Caenorhabditis elegans: one gene and its partner. The protein of the gene in region 2 interacts with the protein of the main gene of each other region in a biochemical or structural test. Each region holds a gene or a part of one and is shown on either strand. Other genes may lie near its edges.

What was found. The genes of interacting proteins can lie anywhere in the genome.
Region 1: of the proteins of atf-2 (region 2) and pmk-2, one has a biochemical effect on the other in vitro, tested with the Caenorhabditis elegans proteins (one study listed by BioGRID).

Annotation. Positions count from the first base shown.
Region 1 is NC_003282.8:8,141,720-8,149,165, reverse strand, and holds pmk-2 (Mitogen-activated protein kinase pmk-2), read right to left. Parts: upstream 5,667-7,446; 5' UTR 5,656-5,666; coding exon 5,551-5,655; intron 4,954-5,550; coding exon 4,868-4,953; intron 4,819-4,867; coding exon 4,630-4,818; intron 4,125-4,629; coding exon 4,013-4,124; intron 2,114-4,012; coding exon 2,036-2,113; intron 1,985-2,035; coding exon 1,870-1,984; intron 1,542-1,869; coding exon 1,470-1,541; intron 1,421-1,469; coding exon 1,324-1,420; intron 1,240-1,323; coding exon 1,035-1,239; intron 985-1,034; coding exon 835-984; 3' UTR 518-834; downstream 1-517. Other genes in the region: Mitogen-activated protein kinase pmk-1, read right to left, coding at 1-167, 212-360; Mitogen-activated protein kinase pmk-3, read right to left, coding at 6,366-6,442, 6,524-7,130, 7,304-7,446. UniProt on the Caenorhabditis elegans protein: Responds to activation by environmental stress and pro-inflammatory cytokines by phosphorylating downstream targets.
Region 2 is NC_003280.10:8,750,005-8,754,458, forward strand, and holds atf-2 (Transcription factor atf-2), read left to right. Parts: upstream 1-1,981; coding exon 1,982-2,112; intron 2,113-2,186; coding exon 2,187-2,562; intron 2,563-2,792; coding exon 2,793-3,015; intron 3,016-3,097; coding exon 3,098-3,354; intron 3,355-3,427; coding exon 3,428-3,526; intron 3,527-3,614; coding exon 3,615-3,734; 3' UTR 3,735-3,929; downstream 3,930-4,454. Other genes in the region: K08F8.7 (MARVEL domain-containing protein), read right to left, coding at 4,157-4,214, 4,270-4,454. UniProt on the Caenorhabditis elegans protein: Acts as a transcription factor that recognizes and binds to the sequence 5'-[GA]TTA[CT]GTAA[CT]-3', a sequence present in many promoters.

The DNA.
Region 1 (7,446 bases), on a different chromosome or scaffold from region 2:
TCTCATTTGGAGTGAAGACATCAAGTAGATCAATTATATTTTCATGACACATACAACGAAGAAGTCGGAGTTCACGATATGTACGACGGGCATGAATTATTGATTGAAATGGACGATTGAATTTTTTGATTGCGACGCGAGTCCCCGAGCGAGTACATTCAGCAGCACTAAAAATCGAAAAATAAAGTAAAAATCAGTTGAAATGACATACCAAACAGTTCCATATGCTCCGGTACCAATTGGAGTCAAGTTAATATAATAATTTGGAACAACCCAGACACTTCGATTAAGCTCAACGACATAGTATCCTTCTCGTGGAGTCGGATGAAGTATATGATCCATTGTTGTCTGTGGAAACATTGGCTCCGTTACCTGGAATCATGTTTGTAAGATTTGAAGTAATTATTTTGAAAAAAATATGATTTTTTTGTGTACGTAAAACCAATATAAATGTAAATATAAAAATTAAGCGGCAATTTGAACCGATTAAATGTTTAAGAGTATTTAGAAAATTGAATATTTACATTAATTCTTTATACACTTCAATTTGATAAATGAATCTAAATGAATAATAAATTAAAAGAGGCTCTGAGGTCATGGCAACTTATAGGATTAACGAGAAAGTTAAGGTAAATCACAAGTCTATGGTTTCAAAGGAAAAAATTGAGATTTTGTGGAAAAGAACATCTGAGATCGATTGTTGGATAATTAGAGATCAAGGAATTAGGGACACAAATTTGATTTTTAGTGAAATAAATAGTTTAGGGAGATACAATATAGAAAAAAGAAAATTCCACAGTTTTGAGATATTTTAGCACTTGAACACATTTGACTTCATATTTTCATTGGCTCTTCTTCCGTATCCGTACAGCTTACAAAACTTAGTCTTCGTGCCGAGTTTTGGAATAATCGAATCTCATTCCAAATTAACTCTCGCCAGTCGGATAACGTTGTTGCTCGTTCTTCAGCTGGATCAATTGTGACCTAACAAGAAAATTGGAGTACTTTTAGAGAAGCGAACTTAAATTTCGTACTATGCTATTTATTACCGTATCCATTGCAACTGGTTCATCATTTGGCACAGAGTATTCACGAAGATAGTCATGACGAAGAGCACTTGATACAGAAATTCTTCTGTCCGGATCCAAAATTAGCATCATTTCGAGAAGTTCGAGAGCATATGGAGAAGCCATTGGAAACAATGTAACGAAGTCCTGACGGATAATTGGAGAACGATTTCTGAAAGATTTTTGCGTAAACGATTTATTTTTTTTTTCAGTTCTAGTCTAGTAATTGAATTTCAGAAGTATTTGCAACACTAACTTAATATAATTTCGAGCTTCTTCTGATTGAATTTTGGACCAGAATTCTTCTTTTGGGGTACCCACAACTGACATTATCTTTGTTAGCTGATCAATATCTGCAAATTTTAAATATTTAAAGTATTAGAGGAATAGAATAAAACTCACGATCATCGCCTGGAAACAATGGTCTCCCGGATACCAGTTCCGCAAGAATACATCCAACTGACCAAACATCAACTGAAAAATTCAATATTTTGGTAACATTTTTAGAAGTAAAAAAAAATGATGTTTTTGTTTCATGTGATAAATATATCAAGTTTTTCGTTTATTTGAAAAAATAGGAAGTTGGAATAGAGAGAGAATTGCAGAAACCAGAAATACCAATATCAAGTCAAAGTTTATTCTTCATATTTTCACACGTTTTAGCATAACTACAAGAAACAGGTGAAACATGCTTTCAAAATGTCAGAAGTTAACCTCAAATCATATGATATTTAACAATTTAGTTCAAAGATTTTAGGTGACTATTTAAGTGCATAGAAACCAATTTCTTTTATTTACTCACCAGTCTGTGTATAATGCATCCAATTGAGCATAATCTCTGGAGCTCTGTACCATCTTGTTGCCACGTATCCAGTCATTTCGGCGTCTTGAGCACGAGCCAATCCAAAATCGAGAATCTTGAAAAATGAAAGAATTAGGAAAGAAAGTTGAGAAAAACTAAGAAAAACCTTGACTTCGCATCTCTCATTGACAGCAATATTCGATGGTTTTAAATCGCGATGGATAATCCCTGCCGAATGGATATACTGCAAGAATAGGAAAATATTTGAATGTAAAAGAGTATTAGGAGAAAAAGATCAAAGAATTTTTGGAAGAAATATTTGAAACAAAGCTGTTGTAAGATTTAACCAGCCTAAAACGTGTGTTTCTTCTTTGAAAAGGATGCATTAATTTTTTCAGAATAATAGTTGAATTGAAATTTTGGTGACTCATGTACTGAAGCGTTATTTGCAACTGTTCACATCAAACTGTTTAGATTAAAAAGTATTTTAATGTTCAACAAGTTAAAATCTGTTCTTATAAGAAGTTTTCCCATTCTCTGAAACAGAAAATAAATTTAAAAGCTCATATTTTAAATATATTACCACAAAACGCAAAATTCAATGTTTTTTTTAATTTTCAGATTGAAAAAAGTTTAAAAAGCTTTCAAAAGATTTTTTTTCAACAAAAAAAGAAAAAAAAAAGAAGTGTGTACTATGTAAACAATAGTCTGCCAGCATACCACTTTTATCATGAAAAATGAAACAAAACCGTAGTAGAATTGAATGTGAGGAAACTTAGAGAAAAAAGTCAAAAAATGGATAGAAAACAGCCTGTGTTTAGCCTAATGTTGTATTTGGCATTATAAAGGAGACAAGGTGTTCATCGATCACTATTTTATGAGATAGTACACGTGATTGAGATACGCAGGAGGTTACACAAATGGTATTGCATAGGTCACGGTATATAGAGTGAGAGAGTGGAATGCAAGGTAACTCTTGTTTTAGATTTGAACGTATGTCATTGGAAATATATTGTATCCAAATATCGGATAAATGCGTGTATCTTAAAAACAGATACAATTTCAGACAGAAACCAAATGTTCAGATTTCCTTGTAAATAAAACTTAAACGTTTGAGCTGGGCATTCTAACGATCTTCAAGTTGAGATTTTTGTTATGAGACTATTTCACATTAATGGAATTATCTTTAAACATTTTATGTTACCGAAAATCACATTACCGGATCGGGAAAAAATATGGAATTTTATTGAAAAGCATCGGGTTCAAGTATGAGCAAATCCGTTACCGTACCCTGGAGTAAGGCACTGTCTTACGGATAGAAAAAACTTTCAAATGTCAAAACTCGAAAAGAAACTACGTTTTAAATTCTTTAAAACTGTCGAAATGCTTCGAAATCACAATTTATGGCAAAAAATACGAAAATGCACTCTTCTTTGAATTCATTCGTATTCTGTCTAACAGAATGAATGTTCCATGTAGAACCTGTCACATTCATATATCATTTCTGCGTATTTGGTTTTCCATTTTAACTCAAGAGAGAAAACGAGAAAAATTGAGCTTTCAACTGGTTTGTCTAAAATCTTCGGATGTAATAAGAACTACGAAATTAAAAAAAAAAGTTGTGATTTATATTTTCATTCAAAAACTAATCTGTCGCATTACAGTGAAACTATAATTTTTCCATAAAAATCACTTTTGAAGTGTTTGGAAAAGCCGCTGGAGCATAACATTTGAAGGCTTTTCAGTGGCCGAAAAAAGTGGCTTTCTACATTCTCATCTCTTGACCCGTGCCTAATCGAAAAAATGCATCTATCAGAGAGAAAAAGGAAGAGAAAAAAGAATGAAAGGATGGAGTAATCGTCTTCAGAATTTAATTAGAAATTGCAGGAAAACAAGATGCAGAGACGCAGGCATCGAAACTGGGGAAAAAGTTTGAGAACACTTAAAAATAATTTATTCTGAAAATTCCCTACTGTTTTTCTATTTTCTGAAAACTTGTTTTATATCTCTCATATTGCCTTTCTAAAGCAAATCGTATTTTGTGAAATATGAGTAAAAACCTGAGAAAATACGAGAAAAGGAGATACGAAAATTATAGGGTTTGAGTGCTGACATAACCAGAAATAGGGAATGAAAATAATACCTTGAGCCCACGTAACACTTGATAGATAAGCAGTTGGATTTGTTCATCGGTCAGTCGTTGGATTTTCATAATATTTTGTAAATCGGAGCCCATCAGAACGGATACGAAATATCTGAAATTGTAAATTCGTCAGATATTTAGATTTTTGGATTTATTCGAAATTTCTTCAGTATTTTTTGAAGCGCGCGGAGTAGTGTCAGTAATTGTTGGAACGACTAAACCATTTCAAAAAATTATGTCATAGTATTTTAACTAAAGATTTGATTTCGTTTCAAATTTTTCAGAAGCCCCACTATTTTTCAAAATTTGGCAAGTTACCGAGCCTGGCTGAATAATTTCCGAAATATAAAAAAGAGTTGACAGATATGCGTTGAATTCGTTGAAATCCGCAATTATTCACTAAAAATGAAAATATACTATTTTTGTATTTGAAAATGTTTTCATTTTTTGAATTCAATTTTATTTTAACTTTATTCCAGTCTAATCTTTTCAAATTCTCAAACTTTTTCTACCTTGTTCCGGGTTTTCTATTCTCTCATCATCTAATCCTCTTTTTTCTCAAATCCCTTAAATATTCTTGAGAAGCAATTTATTCCCCTAAACAATCCGAAACTCACACATTATTCAAAGAAGATGCATCTGGATCTGGTGTGAATACATCAATCATTTCCAATACATTATCATGTTGTAGAGTTCTTAGAAGTTTCAGTTCCCGATAGGTTCGTTTTGCGTGAATTGTACTTTGAAATGGGCGAAAGAACTTTTTAATTGCAACTCGATCTCCAGTTGGCTCATATTCTGCTGTGCTACAAAAAAATGTCAGATTTTAGATATATCTCAATTTTTGTAACTTACCATACAACTCCATACGCTCCTTCTCCTAGAGGCTTCAAACTGTTGTACCATTGAGGTAAGACCCATTTCGTTTTGTTTAGTTCGACCTACAAATAATCTAACTAAAAATTGCAATGAAATAAAAAAGGAAAATATGTAGTTGAATTTATAGTTTTTTTTTATTATGAATTTATAGATTTATAGTTTTTGACAATTTATATTTATTTCCAATGATATCACCATCACATTATGTCTCATATCCTATGATCTTCGTGAATTTTGTAGTTATTTTTATTTTGGCAACTGTAAAAATGGAGTAGCGCAACAGGGAGAAGATGATTAAAAAATACTTCCATAGTGCAAAAAATGAGTAATTGTGTTTTACTTTTAAGAAAACATTGGATTTTTTTAAAGAATTCAAAAAAAAAAAAGGAATTCAAAAAAAAAATTTTGGAAGCCGACCAAAAAAAATCTCTCCTGACTTTCGTTATAAAATCATTTTTGTTCAAGTGATTAAAAAAATCTTAATTTTTTTTTCAAATAGTCCGCAAATTTGGAAATTTTCCAAAACTTTGACTAAAAATGATGAATAATCTAAAATTAACTCATTGGGTTTTTGTAATTTGCAAAATTTCTTTTAGCTCATTCTAGTATATTTAGACAATATTCACTACACTATAAAAAATCTTCTTCTGTAACTATACCTCATGATATCCTTCTGGAGTAATCTCAGGCGGGGCAGGACCAAAATCGGCAAAAAAGACACCGGGAATGCTGGCTGAATCGCCCATGGTCGCCGACATCCCCATCAACAAGACATCTAGAAAAAGTTTGAATTGAATTTGTAAATATAATTTTTACATTTTTGCACGAAAGTTTTAATATTTCGAAAAAGGGCAGACAATTGCCTACATAGGTATTCCAAAATAATAATTCAATCTTATTTCACATTTTTTAAATGTTTGAATTTTTCTGCTAATTGAATAAACGTTTTAAGCTGAAGTTCAGGATTAACTTTGTCAAGTCAAACTATGCTTTTTATATTAAAAAAATTCCAGAAATTTTCAGATAATCTCACTTTAAACATATAAGCTCGTGTAAAATATGAGTGACACGGATTAGAACCAATCTCTTTTTTATAAAACACTTCAAGCTTTTAAAACGAATTGTCAAAAGAAAATAAGTTTATTGAACTAATTAGTATGTGTAAGGGTGCAATGACAAGAATGACGAATATAAAAAAATATGATGGGATAAAAGCATGAGAGAAAAACGAGACAAAGAGATTCAGAGAAATGGAGAAGTAAAGAGAAAGAGAGAAGGAGACAGAGACATAAAAGGAAGAAGCTATAGAATGCAAGAAAATAAATACTCTGAAAGAATTTGAAAGAGAAGATGGAAAACATCATTATCACCTGTAAAGTGTTGCTATCACTGAACGACAAAGAGACGAGAAAGAGAGAGGGAAAAGAAGTAATACATTTCCGGAATTATATACAATTAATATAATTGAATGAAATCAGCGATCTGCTTCTCCAGGGATTAACGGTGATGAGCTGAGTCTTTTGTAGTTCATTATTTCCTTCCAGACGGCATCTGTAATAAAATATTTTTGCATTTGTTGTTTTTCAAATTTGCAGGTGTGCAGAATTCTATTACGTGATCTTTGAGCCTTACCTCTCCACTCGAATCTTGTTCTAGCTTGAGAGTCATCCAAGTCAAATATATGATCAGCTCTTGGTTCATCTTCTGGAAGTGAAAACTCTGCCAAATATGGATGTTGAATAGCTTCTTCCACCGTAATCCTCTTCTCTGGATCCAAAACTAAAAGCTTCTCAAGTAGATCAATAAAGTCTTCTGATGGATTATGAGCAGAAAATACATCACGGAAATTTCGACGTTTGTGAGTTGTGTAGGATTGAATTACGGCTTTAATTGCAGACGAGTTATCATTTTCAATCTTTGTCAAAAGTTCTTCATCAGGACTTCCACATAATTGAGTAATACGTTGATATTGAGCATTGGGCTCATCACCCGGAAACAGTGGTTCTCCAGTTAAAAGTTCTGCAGCAATACATCCAAGTGACCACATATCTGCCAGATTTGTGTAACTATCAATCTTCCAATAAATGACTTCTGGACTACGGTACCATCTTGTTTGTACATATTGTGTTAGAGAAGTATCTTTCTTTTCCAAGGATCTTGCAAGTCCAAAATCGAGAATCATGAGGTCAGAATCATCGGTCAACGCGAGATTTCCTGGTTTCAAGTCACGATGTATAATCTAAAAAATTTTAATAAATATATTTTCGTGTTTTAGTCATGTTCTTTTTGACTAATTATGGCCTAATCGTGCCTAATCCTCCTATATGAAATTTTATTTAATCTAAAATGCTGATATTTCTATTAAAAAAAAAAGAATGAGCAATGTTCTGTTCACTAACTCCATTGACTTACATTAGCAGAATGAATGTACTTAAGTGCACGTATGATTTGATAAATGATGAATTTGATATGCTCGTCGGTCAGCACGCGCCGTCCATAATCTCTTTGTTGCTTCAAGATCTGATAAAGACTACGACCCGCAAATTCAGTGACAA
Region 2 (4,454 bases):
ACTTTTCAAAGTGGGCAGACTCAAAGAATACCTCTTTTTCATGTGAAAAGCTAAAACTTCACTTGTTCCAATTTAAAAGTTCTAAGAAAATAACAGTTCTTCTTGACAATCCTAGATTCAAGTAAAGATACCTTTATCTAAAATTGAATTTCAATTTTCTCTCCTCTTTTTCCAATTTCATTCACTTTCCTTCCCATAGCCTGCATACTTTCACCGACTCGTTCCCGAACGATATGATCGTGCTAGCCACTCTCTCTTTCTCGTATCGAACTGCGATCTTTCAGTTCCCAACAAGAATACCATCATTTCAACACCTCACTTTCGCAATCAACTACCAAAAGTGCACTCTCACTCTGTTACTCTACCTAACCGTATTATCCGCTCTCCATGTAAAACTACTGAAGTAGACACAGCAAGGGACAGGCACACACTCACTGGTCATCAAAATCATCAAATGATGCAGTGAATTTGGCTGTTCTGGTTTGCAGACAAAAAAGTTTTGGAAGCGGTGCGGGAGGATAGTGGACACTGTTTGTGATTCACTTCTCGTCATTCTCCGAGCCTTACAAACAAACAAAAATAGCTCTCTCTTTTCGCTGACGATTGTCCCCCAACACGGGCGGCGGTTATTTTGGCTCTCGCCACTCTTTTTCAAGGTGCACAATCAAAAACAAACAAGTCCAGCCCGATTTCGCGAATTTGTTCATCTAGTTCAACGCATTTTTTTCATTTTGAATACATTTGCTTGTATCGTTTCCGAGTTTCTTGAACAATTACTTTCAGAATTGAGTATCATTTTTTGTGTTCAGCAGTGAAAAATAACCAAAATTTCTCTATCAGGCTTGCACTCACATTGGTCATATTTTACAGTCCTGACCTAGAGTGCGTTTATGAATTTTTCAAGACTTTTGTTTATCTAAACCTACCAATTTTTTCTTCGTTATCTTTTTCAACTTTATCTTTTAGCCGTATCTCATTATTCACTTTCCACCCAGTAGCTTCATCCTCTTGTCTTCCAATTCTCCGCAAAGTTCACCTACCCTTTTGTACTAGTGACCTGATGCGACGAATTCAACCATTGACCTCCTCCTCCTTCTCACACTTAGACACACATACATCCGTAACCCGAAGCAGCGAAAGTTAAGCATGAAAGCGAAAGGAAAGTGAAAACAATTAGGAAAAGTCGGCATCATCATGGATCGGAGGAGGCGACGCGTTGAAGTCGTTGCGAACGATGAAAAATGATTAGGAGACGGGTCGAAGAAAAAGAGAAGGGACTGCAATGAAGAGAGAAGGGGGCGAAAGTCGGAGGGGATATCCTGTTCTTCGACTGGTTTATTGTAGAGACTGAGAGTGAGAGGATCTACCAAGCATTGTCCGAAACATTGACCATGGCTAACTGGTTTGCAAGGCGCAAATAGGTCAACTGAGGAGAGGCACAACACCGCTTAATTGTTGCTAACTGCACTCTACACCTACCATATGAACACACCTGTACCAGATATACTTTGTTTTCTCACCTTTTTTTAAGTTAGTGATTTTCTGGTTGTCTAGATACTCAGGGATTAGCATTGCGTAAGATCATCTTCACTGAAACCAAAAACTGAATAATTTTTGTATACACATTGGTCAATTAAAATGGCTTACAATTAATTAATAATATCTGGAAACAGTGAACACATTGAACTTCTGATTGTGCTGAATCTCCAAAGATCGTGTCAATTTCAACTCAAAAAGACGTATTTGTCCTTACATCAAATAGGTTGACAGCTTCTTTTAACTCTACTAACTTTCCATTTCAATACACCATGTGTACTAACATTTTGAAGTCAAAATATAAATGTTGTGTCTTAATTCATTTTGAAAGATTTTGGTATTCATATTTCTTTCACCGATGTTCTTTTCTTTCAAATTTCGTACTTCTATATTCTTGATTTTCTTCTTTTGTTTGACTTTTAATCATCTTATTTTTATTTTTCAGATGGACGTCGACTCGGCATCATTGTCACCGTCCTCCAGACTTTCGGTGGTTTGTTCGGCATCCGCCGAGTTCTCATCGAGCTCGTCGGATTCGTCGAACTTTTCAGAAGGATCTCCCCCGGAATCTAGAAGGTTTGAATTTTTAACAGTTTGATGAAACTTTTGAAAGTTTAAATACTTTTCGACATTGATAACTATTTTTCCAGAAATTCCGTAAACGAAAGTGTAATAAAAGATGAACATTACTGGGAAAGGCGACGGAGAAATAACGATGCATCAAGAAGAAGTCGAGAAAAGCGAAGGCAAAACGATCTAGCAATGGAAGAAAAAATAATGTTACTTTCCGCCGAAAACGAACGGTTAAAATCTCAGTTAGGAACGACACCAATTCCACAACCATCAGTAACAGAGCCTCCAACATCTCTGATTATTCCCCAAGTTGCAAAGAATCTTTTCCCAGCGGGTCCAATAGCATCTTTGCAAGCGAGTTCAATGCTTACTGTTCCATTGCTCCAGGCAGCTTCGCATATTCCATCAATGTTGCAGCTTTGTCAACTACAGCCAACAACTATTCAGTCACCGGTAAGTTATTTTATTGAACTTGGAAATATCGAAATTGTGATGATTTAAATAAAATAAATTAACTCGTGGAAAAATATTTACTATTACAAAAACGTCTGAACCGCATATAAAGTTCCATTGTCATTTTTTGGCAACACAACTCAGATTGTCAACAATTTAATGAATACATTGACAGCTGAATGCGTGACCTAGAAAGACAGATGTCCCATAACGTTTTTCCATGTTTGTAGGTCTATGCGAGCACTCAACAACCTGCATCAACGTCAGCATCATCTTTATTCTCTTCATCGTCTTCATCTGCATTTCATCCTTTTCGACCATCAGAAAGTGCTCAGCAGAGTTTTCCATCGAGTAGCGTAATTGTGAAAATTGAACGAAGAAGTCCAGATTCATCAACTGACGTGAATATGCCTCAACCTCAGTTACAGCCTGGATCTAGCGTTATTCAACAAAGTAAGTCGTTGTTTTTGAAAGTAAAGAGCATATTTTCATTTCACTAGTATTAATTGAAACTATAATCTAAAATTTATTTCAGTCGGTCAGCCTGCTCCATCAGGTACGCCTCAACCAGTAATCCAAGCTGTTCAACAAGGACCATCCCTGCTATCTGCTCTTCTTTCACAGCGAAGACCTTCTCCTACAGTACCACAAAGCCGAACGGAACATATTTCGGGGCTAAATTCCCCTCCAAGACATACTGGAAACAAATCAGACTGTGAAAGTGTATCGTCTTCAGCATCTTTCTCTCCATCGCATTCTTCGGAAGATCACTCAAATTATTCGAACAAATCGGTAAGTTTTTTTAAAGGAATTGAAAGAAGACATTTTTAAATACATGTCAAATATTTCAAAAAAAAACTTTCAGCCCCAATATGTGGACAGACGTCGAAGGAACAATGAAGCCGCAAAAAGATGTAGAGCAAATAGACGAGCAGTATTCGAATACAGGTCACGACGAGTTCAGGTAAGTTGAAACTAATTTTAATAGAAAACATAAAATTTTAAAACTTAGATATAAATTTATTGAATCAATTATTACTTAACATTTTCAGCTCTTGGAAGGTGAAAATGAAGATCTTCGTACCCAAATCGAAACGCTAAAAGCAGAAATAGCCCACTTCAAATCAGTTTTGGCTCAAAGAGCATCAGTTGTTACTGCCCTTCACCCTTGATCCCATTCCATTTTCTTATTTTTGACTAATACGGATAGAAAGCCAATTTTCTTCGTCTTCTCGCTAGATGCCCCCCAATCAAAGTCTTTCGCTCTCAAAAAACCCTTCCTCTCTTTCTGCAATACTTCCAATCATTCATGTGCAATACTTTTTAACTTTAAATGTTTCATTAATTGTTTCTAATAAAACCAATGTGTTATTATTTTTGATTTGCTTCCTGTACAAAAAAAGGTGAAACAACAAAAAAAAGTAAAGTCTGCAAACGATTTTTAAAATCCACCCGTCGCTTGCCAGAAAACGGAAACTTTTCAGAATGATATAACTGAATCAGAAAATTGTTTTATTAATGTTTCATATATACAAATTATTATGAGAAAGTGAATTTAAAGTTGAGCATTGATAATTATTTGATTACTTTTCCATTAAACAGAACTTGTTTGCCCTTTTCGTTGATACTCCATGTAAATGTCATGTATACTTCTGAAAGGACATGAAATATAAAATATTTCCTAATTTTATGCAAATCTTGACCCACTTTTCCGTTTCGATGACGGCAACAGACGGTGGCGGAATGTCATAAATTGGCGCCTTTTTTGAATTACGATAAAAATAGAAGGCATTCAGGCCTAGATCCAGAAGTCCAAATACTAGAACCAAAAAGCAAAATACTGAAGCAACTTGGAATGTTCCAGTGGAAACTGATTGATAACATCCGTATTG